Notamacropus eugenii: one gene and its partners. The protein of the gene in region 1 interacts with the protein of each later gene in a pairwise test. Links are inferred from orthologs where the notes say so. Each region holds a gene or a part of one and is shown on either strand. Other genes may lie near its edges.

Region 1 (3,744 bases):
TCCACTTCCACTACTCCATCTTCCATCCACTCCTCATTTTCCTCTTTGGCTTCTTTCCTACAAATTGTGTCCATCAACAATGGGGACATGTCACCCTGGAAGTCCAGTTGGTGTTTCAAAGCCTTCCCCTTCCCCAAACTTCCCTCTTTCTGTTGAGGATTCTACCATTCCTCTACACCCCCAGTGTGGTTAGCTCACATTCAGCCTCCATCTTCCCTCTTCCTTTTAGGACATATCCAGTCAATTCCACCTCTAAATCTCCCACAACAGTCCCCCCCCTTTTTTTAAAATCCCGCTCAAAAGGCCCTCATCATCTTTGTCTCCCACTTTCCTAGTCATCCCATGCAGGTGCTAAAATCATGTTCCCCAAAACACAAATCCAATCAATGATGACAAACCTTCATGAGCCTTCCCTTCCCATGCAGGTGCTAAAATCATGTTCCCCAAAACACAAATCCAATCAATGATGACAAACCTTCATGAGCCTTCCCTTGCCATTAGAATAAAAGACAAACTCCTCATCTTGACTTTAATGCTACCCTCCTTCTTGTCTACTACATACCAACCAAGCTGGCCTACGAGCTCCATTTCCTACCTCTGGGCTTTTGTCCAAATTATCCCCATCTCTAAGATGCCCTCCTCCCTCTTCTCTTTTAAAACTCTTCTCTCCTTTCAGAGTAAGTTCTTCCAGTAAAGCCTTCCTGAATCCCTCCTCAAGAACCCTCCAACATATCCATGAACTAACTGATTCACTTGGCTCCTCCACTAATGCAAATCTCAATCCATTCATGCTTTCCCATGAATTCATCCTACTGGATCCCATCTAACCTGCTGAAGACCTTCCTCAATTTCTCAAGTGACCTCACATATTTAGGCATCTGTACCATTTACTGTCTGCCGTTCTATAGAGCAGAACAGAAGCCCCTTGAGGACAGGGGCAGGCTCCTTTTTTCTTTGTTTTCCTAGTATCAGGCAGACAGTAGGCACCTAATCAATGTTTGGTGAATTCAATGTCTATGTGGCCAAATTAGTCAAACTCCACTGAAGGTCCTGACCCTGCTGTCTTCTCCCAGGTGCCCTCTTTGCTGGCTCCTCTTGCTGCCTGGGTCAAGAGAACTGGAGGGGTAAGAAATGGAGACCTCCTGGGCCAGGGCAGGACCGTAATACTGGGAGCTGACATCTGCAGATCCGGCCAAGCACTTTACATGTATTATCATCTCCAGTGATTCTCTCTGTTCGAAGGGATGGGCCAGCCTGGAAGAAGAAGCTGGCTGGACGGTGAATGACCCCCTCCCCATAATTCGAGGTCTTCCCTTCCACAAAGCAGGACCCGGGTGGAGAAAGGAGAGAACCAGACTTGGGGACGGGGGGAGCGGAGGAGGCAGCCTATCAGGCCACCCCCACGGGGCCTCCTAGCCTAGCCCCCAGTCCCTTCTCCTGCCAGATTGAGTGGGAGCCCCTCCCCCATTCCCAGGGGAGCTGGGGGGGAGGGGGAGGAGGGAAAGGGGGGCCTCTCCAGGCCAGCTGCTACAAAACCTTCCGGCTGCAGCAACATTCGCTCCAACATTCCATCCCCTCTTAAAGGGAAAGTCTCTCTTCTAAATCCCCCCCCACCCCATGCTGGGCATTGGGGCTGGCTTAGAGCAAGAGTGTAGGCCCCGAAGGGGAAAGGGGGAGAGCCCCGGCCGGGCCTCCCGGAGAAAAGAGATCCTCCTCGCCGGTGGCTCCCGCCCCTTAGGGCTCCGAGCAGCCTGGAGAGGAGGAGCCCCCGAGACCCGCGGACCTGACCCTGGGACCCCAAAGAGCCGCCACTTTGGGGGTGCGGTGGCGGCGGCACCGCCCACCAGCCCGAAGTTTTGCTCCTGGCAGCCAGCTGGCACGGGTGCCCGGTGGGCACCGCCCCCCCCACCCCCCGGGCCAGGCCTGGGCGGAGGCCCCTCGGCGCTGTCCTGCCCCCGGGCTCCCCGCTCGGCGCCCACGCTCACCCGAAGTCGTCGTCCATAGACTTGAAGAAGAACTTGTAGGTGGGCCGCTGCAGGACGCCCTTGAAGTCGGCCAGGGTGACGCGCTCGGCGGGCAGGGGCAGCTTCACCAGGTACGGCGTCTCCTGGCCGTCCAGGTGGTAGATGATCTTGGTCTCCCCCATGGTCCCGGCGCCCTGGCCTCGGACCCGGCCGGAGCGCTGGGCTCCGATGCCTGCGCGGCGCTGCGCTCGGCGGCTCGCTCTCCGGGCCGCGGCGGCAGCGGCTCCCTTGTTCTGCGGCCGCCCCCGGGTCCCAGCGCCGCCCGGCCGCCTCCCCGCCTCCCCCCTCTCCAGCTTCCGCTCTCCCAATCTCCCTGGCTTTGGTGCCTCTTCCGGCAGCCCTCCTCCTCAGCAGCCCCGCCCCGGGATTCTCCGGTCACTGTCCCTCCGCTGCGCCCCGACCCCACGACTCGGCTTCCCAGCTCTTTAAAGGCGAGGGGAGTGGCCCTCCACGGCCCTGGCCGCTCTCCGAGTCTTTGTGAGCCCCACGGAGGCTTCGGGGTGGCCCCGGGTGTAGGGGAGAACCCGGGGATGGACTTAGAACCCGACGGACCGGGATGGGCCCTTCCGCCGCGAGTCCAGCCGCAATCACAGCTCCTCAGGGGCATGGCAACTGCCTCCGAATCCAAGGCCAGGGGTTCTGTTCCCACCTCCGATCTCAAGGTGGGGGGCCTTCCAGGGCAAGCTCGGAGCAGCCCGGTCATGGGCCAGGAGCGCTGCCGCCCAGCTCTTTACAAGGGGGGAACTGGCTAAGGGAGGTCTATCAGGAGGTGAAGACTTGGTTTCCTAGTCAACATAACTAAGCCTTGTCCTCCACTCGAGGTACAAATCCTCATCTTACAGATGAGAAAAGAGATGCTCAGAAAAAGTACCAGTGGCCATCTGACCAGCAGGCAGTCAGGTCTTCCATCCGGTGTTTGATAAGAATCAGGCCAGCAGGGGCATTCTGCCAGGAAAGAGGCCATAGCCAACTTCTCCATCTCCTCCACCAATGTTACAATTCCTTAAAGCCTTAACAGTTGGCCAGTGTGGGTCCAACCACTTGTCCCAGCTGCTTTCCTGAGGTATTCAGCACCATCTTGTGTCTCAAGAAATTATTGCCTTATGAACTCTGTGAAAGCGAACTTGATTCCAAGGTCCTCCTTGGACTTTTGCAAATTTTCCTGGCTTAGTCCTGTTCCTGCTGTCCCCTCCCCCGAACTCAGAGGCTTCCTCAGTGGGCAGCCCTCCCTCTCTGAACCTTTAACAATCATCAATCCCCTTCCTCTGCCATTTACTTGCTGCTAAATGGCCCTGCTGGTCATTTGTGCTCCTGTCTCATCCCGCCCTAACAGCCTCCTGGAGGGCAGACACAGTTCTATTTTTCCTTTGTCCTCCTCACAGGCTGCCGGAAGCAGAGGTAGTACTTAGAAAGGATGGAACAGTCAAGATTTATTTGTTTCCTGGTTGTGAGAGGCAGGAGGGGCTACTCTTTAGAACCCCCAGCTGGCTGCAGCAGGCCGAGCCATGATAACTCATCACCATTACCCTCCTGACCAGATACTGCCCGTGAAGGCCCAGCAGGCTGTGCCAAAGGCAGTACAAGGTGTCTCACACAGGACCACCCCCTCTGTCTGGCCCTGCCCAGGCTTCGAGCCCCACAGCTCTGGGGTGGAAGGAGGCTTCTCCCCAGGCCCACAGCCAGCCCCATCACCGCCCCCAGATACCCAAGAGGGCTGCCT
Region 2 (3,744 bases), about 270 Mb from region 1:
TTAGCAGCAACCAAATACAGTGGTCAAGTTAACAAGCATTTAAGTGTTTGCTCTCAGAAAGAAAAATATTTCCTGTTCTCAAGGAGCTTACTTTCTAACATGAAGGAAGTGGAGGGGAGAGAAAGGGTACCCACCGGAAGAGATGGGGAATGGTACGGAAAATTGGGGAAAGTCAGAAGCACAGCCTAAAGAGGAATAAGACATGGTTGACTGGGGCATCCTTCTTAAAATGAAGGCTTAGAAAGCAACCCGGTAACCAGAGGGAGAGGCTCAAGTGGGCAGAGGGCAATTCCAGTATGAGAATTCCAGAGGTGAAGTAAACTTCCAAGGTGAAGCATGTTAGTGCAAAAGTCTAAGACAGTCAGCAGTAAGGCTTGGAGTTGGATGTAGGTAGCAATTCAGTATAGATTAAGGAGAAAGACTGGACGGTGGGCTTCCTCTGAATACTTCAGAAGGGCCGTCCACATTTTGAATCTCTTGTAATAAGGGATTACAGTTATAGGGCCTTTGTCAACTGAAATCCCTTCTCTACACCTTCCCTTACCCTTTCTCTGTTTTTGTTTTTTTCTCTTGTGAGGCTTGGCTATTTTTCATCCTACAGGTCTAGGTGAGAGAGAGAGGAACAGAGAGAGAGAGACAGAGAGACAGAGAGAGAGACAGAGAGGGAGAGAGGGACAGAGAGAGAGAGAGAGACAGAGAGTGAGACAGAGAGGGACAGAGAGAGAGAGACAGGGAGAGACAGAGAGACACAAAGACAGAGAGAGAGAGTTCTCCACCATGGATTTCAAAGGCTGCTGAGAACTCCCATTTTCCCGAGACTCCAAGACAAGGGCCCCAAGTCTTTGCTTTCTTGGGCTCTTAAAAGACCGCCTCTTCCCCTGCCTCCAGCTGCCCAGGACAAGAAGAGGGCTAAGTGGACATTCTGCAGGGCTTCCTCTCCCCAGCTTGTTTGCCTCCAGTCCTGCCCCTGCCCTGACCACGGAGAGGCCGGTGAGGACAGGCTCGGGCCACAGGCTCCTTTGGGCCCACGAGGAGGTGGGGGAAACTGATCCCGAACCCGAGAATCTTTCCCCAGTGCCGTCTGGGCGGTGATCAGGTAGAACTGAGCCAAAGGGGTCTGGGACCCCAGCCTTCTCCTCGGCTCTCCCCATTTCGGGGGTTTGTTTCAGAGGCTTTGGAGAGGGTCTCAATGGCAGAGGGGGGCTGGTTTAGAAAAGGAAGTGTTAGGTGGACGGGGGGGTCTGGACGGGGGGGATCTGGACGGGTCACTGCCTAGGGGTGCGGCGGGGGGGGCTGATGTACAGGTAAGGCTCGGCTTTCCCCAGGTGAGTCACTACTGACACGTCCTCCAAGAGACCACGGCCAAACCGATCGGGCCAGGCGCACCACACAAGCCCAGGGAGGCTCTCACCCCCAGCCCACCCGCCCAGCCGCAGGCTCCGGCCGCCTTTGCCCTCACACTCCGCTCTCCCCGCCCCCGCCCCGCTGGTGTCCCCAGAGCAGCGCGGGCCCCGCCCCGCCGGGTTGCTAGGGGAAGTGACGTCACAGCGCGATGGCGGCGGCTCCTTTAGGCGGCTGAAGTGGGATTTAGGCCCGGAAGATCCGAGTCCATCCGTGGTGGGGAGAGGGCGAACGGGGCCGGCGGGGGCCGGAGCAGGGGCGGCGGCGCTCGGACTGTCCCATCCGCCCCATATTGAGGCGCTGGGAGCGGCGGGGCGGCCGGAAAGCGATGGTGAAAGCGGGGCCGTGAGGGGGGCGGAGCCGGGAGCCGGACCCGCATTAGCGGCAGCAGCGGCGCCGCCTCCCCCGGAGCGCAGACCCAGGAAGCGGTCGGGAGGGGAGGGAGCGAACCAGGCCGGAGCCGAAGCCACCACCGTCATGGAGCTGAGAGTTGGGAACAGGTACCGGCTGGGCCGAAAGATCGGCAGCGGCTCCTTTGGAGACATCTATCTTGGTGAGGATTGAAGCCCAGTCCCCTCCCCCCCCCCCGGCCCTGCTCCCGCAGCGAACTACCCCCCTTTCCATACTGCCCCCCCCATACACTCGGCTTCCTTTCACCCCCCAGCCCCGCATTGCCACCCCCCCCCGCCCCCGGCTCCTGCCCTCTCGTCGCTTCCGCCAGTCTTCCTGGACCATCATAGCCTTTCATCACCCCGGGATGCTCTCCCCCCATTACCCTCTGCCCCAGGTTTCCCCATTACTGTGGTGTACCTCAGCCCAGACAAAACACCCCACCCCACCCCAGCACCTTTGTTGAGCCGCAGCCTGGGCTCGGTCCTCATACCCCTCGGTGGCCATCTCCGGCTCTCCGGGGGAATCGAACTCGAGTCTCGAGCCCCTGGAGCAGCTGACACCTGCCTGGGAAACCTGGTTGGGCTGGCCTTTGGGGTTTGCCTTCCCCATGAGCTAATTAATGGCCGGGGGGAGGGGAAAGAGCGGGGAGCCTGGAGGGTGTGAGACTTTTTCCAGCGTCCTGTTTGGTTGCTTGTAATTACTTTAGCCCCTTCTGAGAGTGAATCATTTTGCTTCTCTGGTGAATCCTTGGGGGAGATCTAAGACCCCCTGGTGTAACAGCTTTAGGTTCTAACCACTCAGACCATCCATCCATCCTGTTCTCAACTCCCCACCTTTTCCCACCCCCACCTCCCCCAATCAGATTCTGGCCCTGCCCTAGGAGACCAGATCATTGGCTTGAGGGCTCAGGAACCCGAACTGATTGGGGGTTAGAGGGTCATGGAAGGTCTGATACTAATTTTTTCCTGATTCTAGGTCTGACTTTTTGAGTCTCCAAAATAATTTCTTTGGAAAAGATCTTAACATCAAGGGGAAGGTTAATTCACATTTCATCAGCAGAACTTCGACCCTAGGGTTTTATTAGAATGTTAGAGATGGAAGTTACCTTAAGCAGTCCATCTCTCCTGCTCCTCATCCCCCATTTTTATAGCTTAGGAAACTGAGGCCTCGAAGAGGTTTTTTTACACGTTCAAGGTCATACAGCTTATTCATGATAGAGCTTGAACTCAAACCCATTTCTGACTCCCGGATTCGTATTTCTCTCCTTTATACCAGATTGCTTCTTTTGGCTTTGAAATTAAGGGATGAAATCAGCAGTAGCTCTTGAAAGTTAGAACAGTTTGAAATATATTGCTTCCTGAAATTAATATGGTTAAGAGTCTGAATGAAGAAATAAATTTTTGTGTCAATAGTGCTGTGGATTTGAGTTCAAATAACTATTATGTTTTATTTTTTTTTTAGATATGGTATTATGAAGGGGGTATTTATTGTAATGGATGGCTATATTTGCTATAATGCAATTGCCAGTAAGTAAATATCTGAGAGAGCTGTGTTCTTAGTTACCTGGGATGGTGTAACACAGTGCACCAAAGGAAATCTTTGCATTTTCAGTGAAGATCTAAGAGACTGGTGATCAGATTACTGTAACTGTGTCTGTGCTTTTTAGAGAGGATAGGGTAGGGCTTTTGCTACCTCTCCACTGTATTGTCCAAAAATAAACAAAGGCCATGTCTCTTTCAGAAGACTCTACAGCCCCATCTTACTGCTCTCTCTGGGATCCCCATGTGTTCAATAATCTCCATGTGTTTTGTACTCGTGGGGGAAAATGTCAAAACAACGCTAATGCAGTGTGGAAATGGAGAACTACACACTAGTCAAAAGTCCGGAAATTCCACAGTTACAGTTCCTACAGCAACCTTGTTACAGATACGTTCTTGCTTTAGTTCCTTT
Region 3 (3,744 bases), on another chromosome or scaffold:
AAAGTGTGTTTTTTTTGAGGGGGAGGGGAGCAGGAGGCCGCTGCCAAGAGGAAGCCTTCCCTAAATGGGAAAGCTGGGAGAGGTGGGAAACCCGGGCCAGCCAAAGTCGAAGCCTGAAGCTTCTCGAATCTGGATGCCAGTAGCTTACAGTCCCGAGTTCAGACTTGACCGGGAGAGCCATTGAGAAGTTGGCGATTCTCTCTTCTGTACAGCCAGCTCTTTATTTGGCGGCGACCAGTCCTTGTTCTCCCCGAAGAGAGTGCAAAAAGAAAGGAACAGAGCTTTTCCCTCCATCCCCTCTCCACCCTCCTTTCCCTGTCTCTCCACTTTAGAGAGTAGGAAACCAAGGCCCAGTGAACAAGAACCAAAGGTCTGGAGCAAAGCAGACAGGGTGAAGGTTAAACCTTGGACCCCAGCCCCTCCAATTTAGACCCATAACCTCACAGCTCAGCCTAGGGAAACTGGTATTTGGTTTTAAGGATCTAAGGACATTTTTTTCTATTTAAAAAATAAAAAGCAGATTGTATTTTCCCCACTGAACCAGATATGAAAGTTTGTGCACTCCCTTATTCTTCCCCAATTCTCCCCAGACTTTGAGTATTAGGAGCATAGTTTTGGGAAAAAAGATAGAGCCCTTCCCTCCTCCAACTTAGGTCCCCGCCTCGGGCGTCAATGCAAGGCCATAGGCTTGGCCACTGTCCCTCTGAAAGGAAAGGGGGCATAGACACATAGCCACAGGCCCATACAATTTCGCCTTTTCTTCTTATAGAGCACCCTGCCTCTTTTCTCTTTAGGCAACGAAGTGCCCTTGAGAGTACGCTCTCTTTTCCCCGACCCCCGCCAAAGGACACCTGCAGGTTAAGCCTCAGCACTAGGTGGGTGAGCGGCTGAATTGCAGAGGCTAAGGCAGGGCAAAACGTTCGCTTTTCCCGGGATCCCTTTAAGGCGCTGGATCAAGTGGCTACTGCAGCCTGTAAAAGCCCAGCAAACGCTGTCCATAAAAGTATAACATTTACTAGATACGTTAAAATTGGCTACTTGTCACAGCGACCAATTTTTCTTCCTCTCCACTCTCCCTCCCCTCTCTCCCCAGCCCCCCTACAGCTGGCTTCCTTTCCTGGATCCCCCACTCCCCATCCTATCAGCTAGCACTTTGGGTAAGGGTGAACGTGTCTGGGGTCGGCCAAGCCCTCTTCCTCCTCTTCCTACCTACAGTTCCCACTCGTCCGCGTGCCCCCCGCCCCCAACTCTCCCCACCCAGGCACCGCCGGTCTCGGGCCCCGGACGGCTTTTTTCTTTGGGATGAAATCGCCGCGTGTAAAGTGAGGTCAGCCCACTGGAATTAAATTTCCCAGCGCATTTGTCAGTTTTGACGAAGCGCAGAACTCCTAAAGAATTTACACGAGGTATAAATTTGTCAAGGACTTAGGCTACGAAGCGAAGGCCGGCGGCACCCGGGGCATTCGGAACCTCGGGCAGAGGCAAGGAGGCTCTGCGACTGGGGAGGTGGGTCAGCAGAGTGCGGAACCCTGGACCATCCTGAGCGTCAGCGGCCCCCACAGTCCCAGGAAAAACACACAATCACATATAGATCCAGTTCTAAGCAACTCTCGATGTGCACACACACCGTGTAAGCCTTGCTCCCGCACCGAACTCGTCTGCTCAGCAGCGCGCTAGACTTTGACAGGCCCCCCCAAACGCACCCGGAACGCCAAGTATCAGTCAACCTTAAAAACTGCCTGGTTGGAGAGATCGTCCTTCCTATAACTCAGAGCCGCCCAAGTCAGACTCACAACGCACATCTGGAAAACAACTGGCCAAAGGCAAGACTTCCAGCACTGGACCCGGAAGAGGGAGAGTGTGTCTATTAGTCTGCCCAGCTTTTACCTCACATTTCCCGCCGCTCCCGGTTCCCTTCCACTTCTCTGCTCTGCTATGCCAACTGCTTCCGCGCCCCCTCTCCATTTCTGCTCCTTTCTCCGGAGGGCGGTCCTTCAAACAGTTAAAGCTCCTTTCTCGGCTGGCAGACAGGTCTGATCAGCCCTGGTATCAGGCCGGCCAGGGCCCGAAACACGGACTTAGGTGCCAGGAGGCCCCGGTTGGCAAAAACGGGGACTGAGGAAGGAGCAATATTAGCAGGAAGCGGCGTGGTTCTGGCTCGGGCAATTAGGGTTACCCAGAGTGGAGCGCTCTCAGGCTCTCAGTAGCCTAACGGGGAACAGCCGGGGCCACCGCCGGTGGGGAGTTCCCCTAGCCTCATCCCAAGCAACATCTCCCTCTGCTCCCTACCATTTGTCCCCCCCCAGGTCCCGTCCCTTCAACCTCCCTTTTCTGGTTCCCCAAAGCTGTGCTCTTACCCACCTTGGTGCTGGTCACTGTGGACTCAGGGGTTGGCGGCCGCAAACTCAAAGCTTAGAGCCCACAGCTCCAGGGTAGCCTCGACCCAGGCTCGCTCCTCCTGTTGCTTGGAGCCCACGAGGAGGGCGGGGGACGGGGCGGGGCAGGGACACAGGGCGGAGACGCTCGAAGCTGCGGTCCCGAGGGCGGAGAGAGGGGGTTCAAGAGCTGGGGGGTCTGGGGCACAGAGGGAACCCTAAACTTGAGAGTCACGGCGGGCAGACGGAGCCTGGGGTATGAATGAGGGGAACAATGATTTAGCAGTCACTCCAAGAGGACTAAGCTGCTGTGGGGACTCGTGTATACTTGCGTGCGTGCGTGTGTGTGTGTGTGTGTGTGTGTGTATGTGTGTGTGCGTGTGTGTGTGCTGGGGCCCAGGATCAGATTGTCAGCCTAGCTCTAAGCTCCAAACCCTACAGGTTGTGTATATGTCTGAGGGGTGGTATTCCAGGGGGCACATAGACCCTCGGGGGTTGAAGTTTCGGATGCAGAGGGCAGATGCTCGTGGAGTCTTCCTTGGTGGCTCCTGGTGTCGGTCCGGGACCCGCTGCTCAGTCAGAGAGAGGAAGCGACAAGCACAGGCTGCCAGTCAAACCTGCTTGGGATAGGCGCGCCCTGCGGGGCGGCTCTGACCGGCTTTGGGCTCTGATTGTGCTTGTTAGTTTTGGACCCGGGCACTGACACTATTGAGGGGAAAGAGGGGATGAAGATGGTGTAGAACATTGGAAGTCAAAAGACCTGAGTTCGAGTGCTACTTTTGCTATTGACTCCTTTGTGTGTTCCTCGTAATGGTCATTTGCTTCACACTGCAAGCCATATCTGTAAAATGAAACAGGTTGGATTGCATTTAGTTCTTTCTAGGGTAACTTTAACATGCAAACAATTCATGCGGTGGTTCTGTGAATCCTTGACCCTCCTACTAGAATGAGAAGCAGGGACCTTGTTCCTTACTCCCTTCCAGCCCCAAATCCCAGCACAGATCAGTAGTAATAATAACTTACACTAATTTAGTGCTTTAAGGTTTTCACACAACTTGACGGATATCTTATTTGTTTCTCATAAGAGCTATGTGAGGTGAGTAACGTATTCTTCTTCTTCACATTTTACAGATGAGAAAACTGAGACCCATCGAAGTTAAATGAGTCACCCTGATCAGCTTCTGAATGACAAGGGTGGGAGTGGAATCTTGGTCTTCTGACTCAGAATGGAGAGCTCTTTTCACCATACCAGTATTTGACTGACAAATCCAAAATATTGTAAGGGCTTGCTGGGAAAGGGGAGATACAGAAAGACAGACTGTACCTTTCTTGGGTCCTGGGTCTGTAGCCTTCATTTCCTTAGCTTGTT

What was found.
Region 2: the proteins of DVL3 (region 1) and CSNK1D interact in binary tests that used the Homo sapiens proteins (3 or more experiments, as listed by UniProt). The two-hybrid records come from large-scale screens. The link is inferred for Notamacropus eugenii from reciprocal best matches to the Homo sapiens genes DVL3 and CSNK1D.
Region 3: the proteins of DVL3 (region 1) and PITX1 interact in binary tests that used the Homo sapiens proteins (3 or more experiments, as listed by UniProt). The two-hybrid records come from large-scale screens. The link is inferred for Notamacropus eugenii from reciprocal best matches to the Homo sapiens genes DVL3 and PITX1.

What each region holds. Positions count from the first base shown.
Region 1 is NC_092873.1:57,206,474-57,210,217, forward strand, and holds the start of DVL3 (segment polarity protein dishevelled homolog DVL-3), read right to left. Parts: upstream 2,290-3,744; 5' UTR 2,147-2,289; coding exon 1,986-2,146; intron 1-1,985. UniProt on the Homo sapiens protein: Involved in the signal transduction pathway mediated by multiple Wnt genes.
Region 2 is NC_092873.1:327,097,452-327,101,195, reverse strand, and holds the start of CSNK1D (casein kinase I), read left to right. Parts: upstream 1-1,540; 5' UTR 1,541-1,878; coding exon 1,879-1,954; intron 1,955-3,744. UniProt on the Homo sapiens protein: Essential serine/threonine-protein kinase that regulates diverse cellular growth and survival processes including Wnt signaling, DNA repair and circadian rhythms. It can phosphorylate a large number of proteins.
Region 3 is NC_092872.1:339,789,030-339,792,773, reverse strand, and holds the start of PITX1 (pituitary homeobox 1), read right to left. Parts: upstream 2,517-3,744; 5' UTR 2,362-2,516; intron 1-2,361. UniProt on the Homo sapiens protein: Sequence-specific transcription factor that binds gene promoters and activates their transcription. May play a role in the development of anterior structures, and in particular, the brain and facies and in specifying the identity or structure of hindlimb.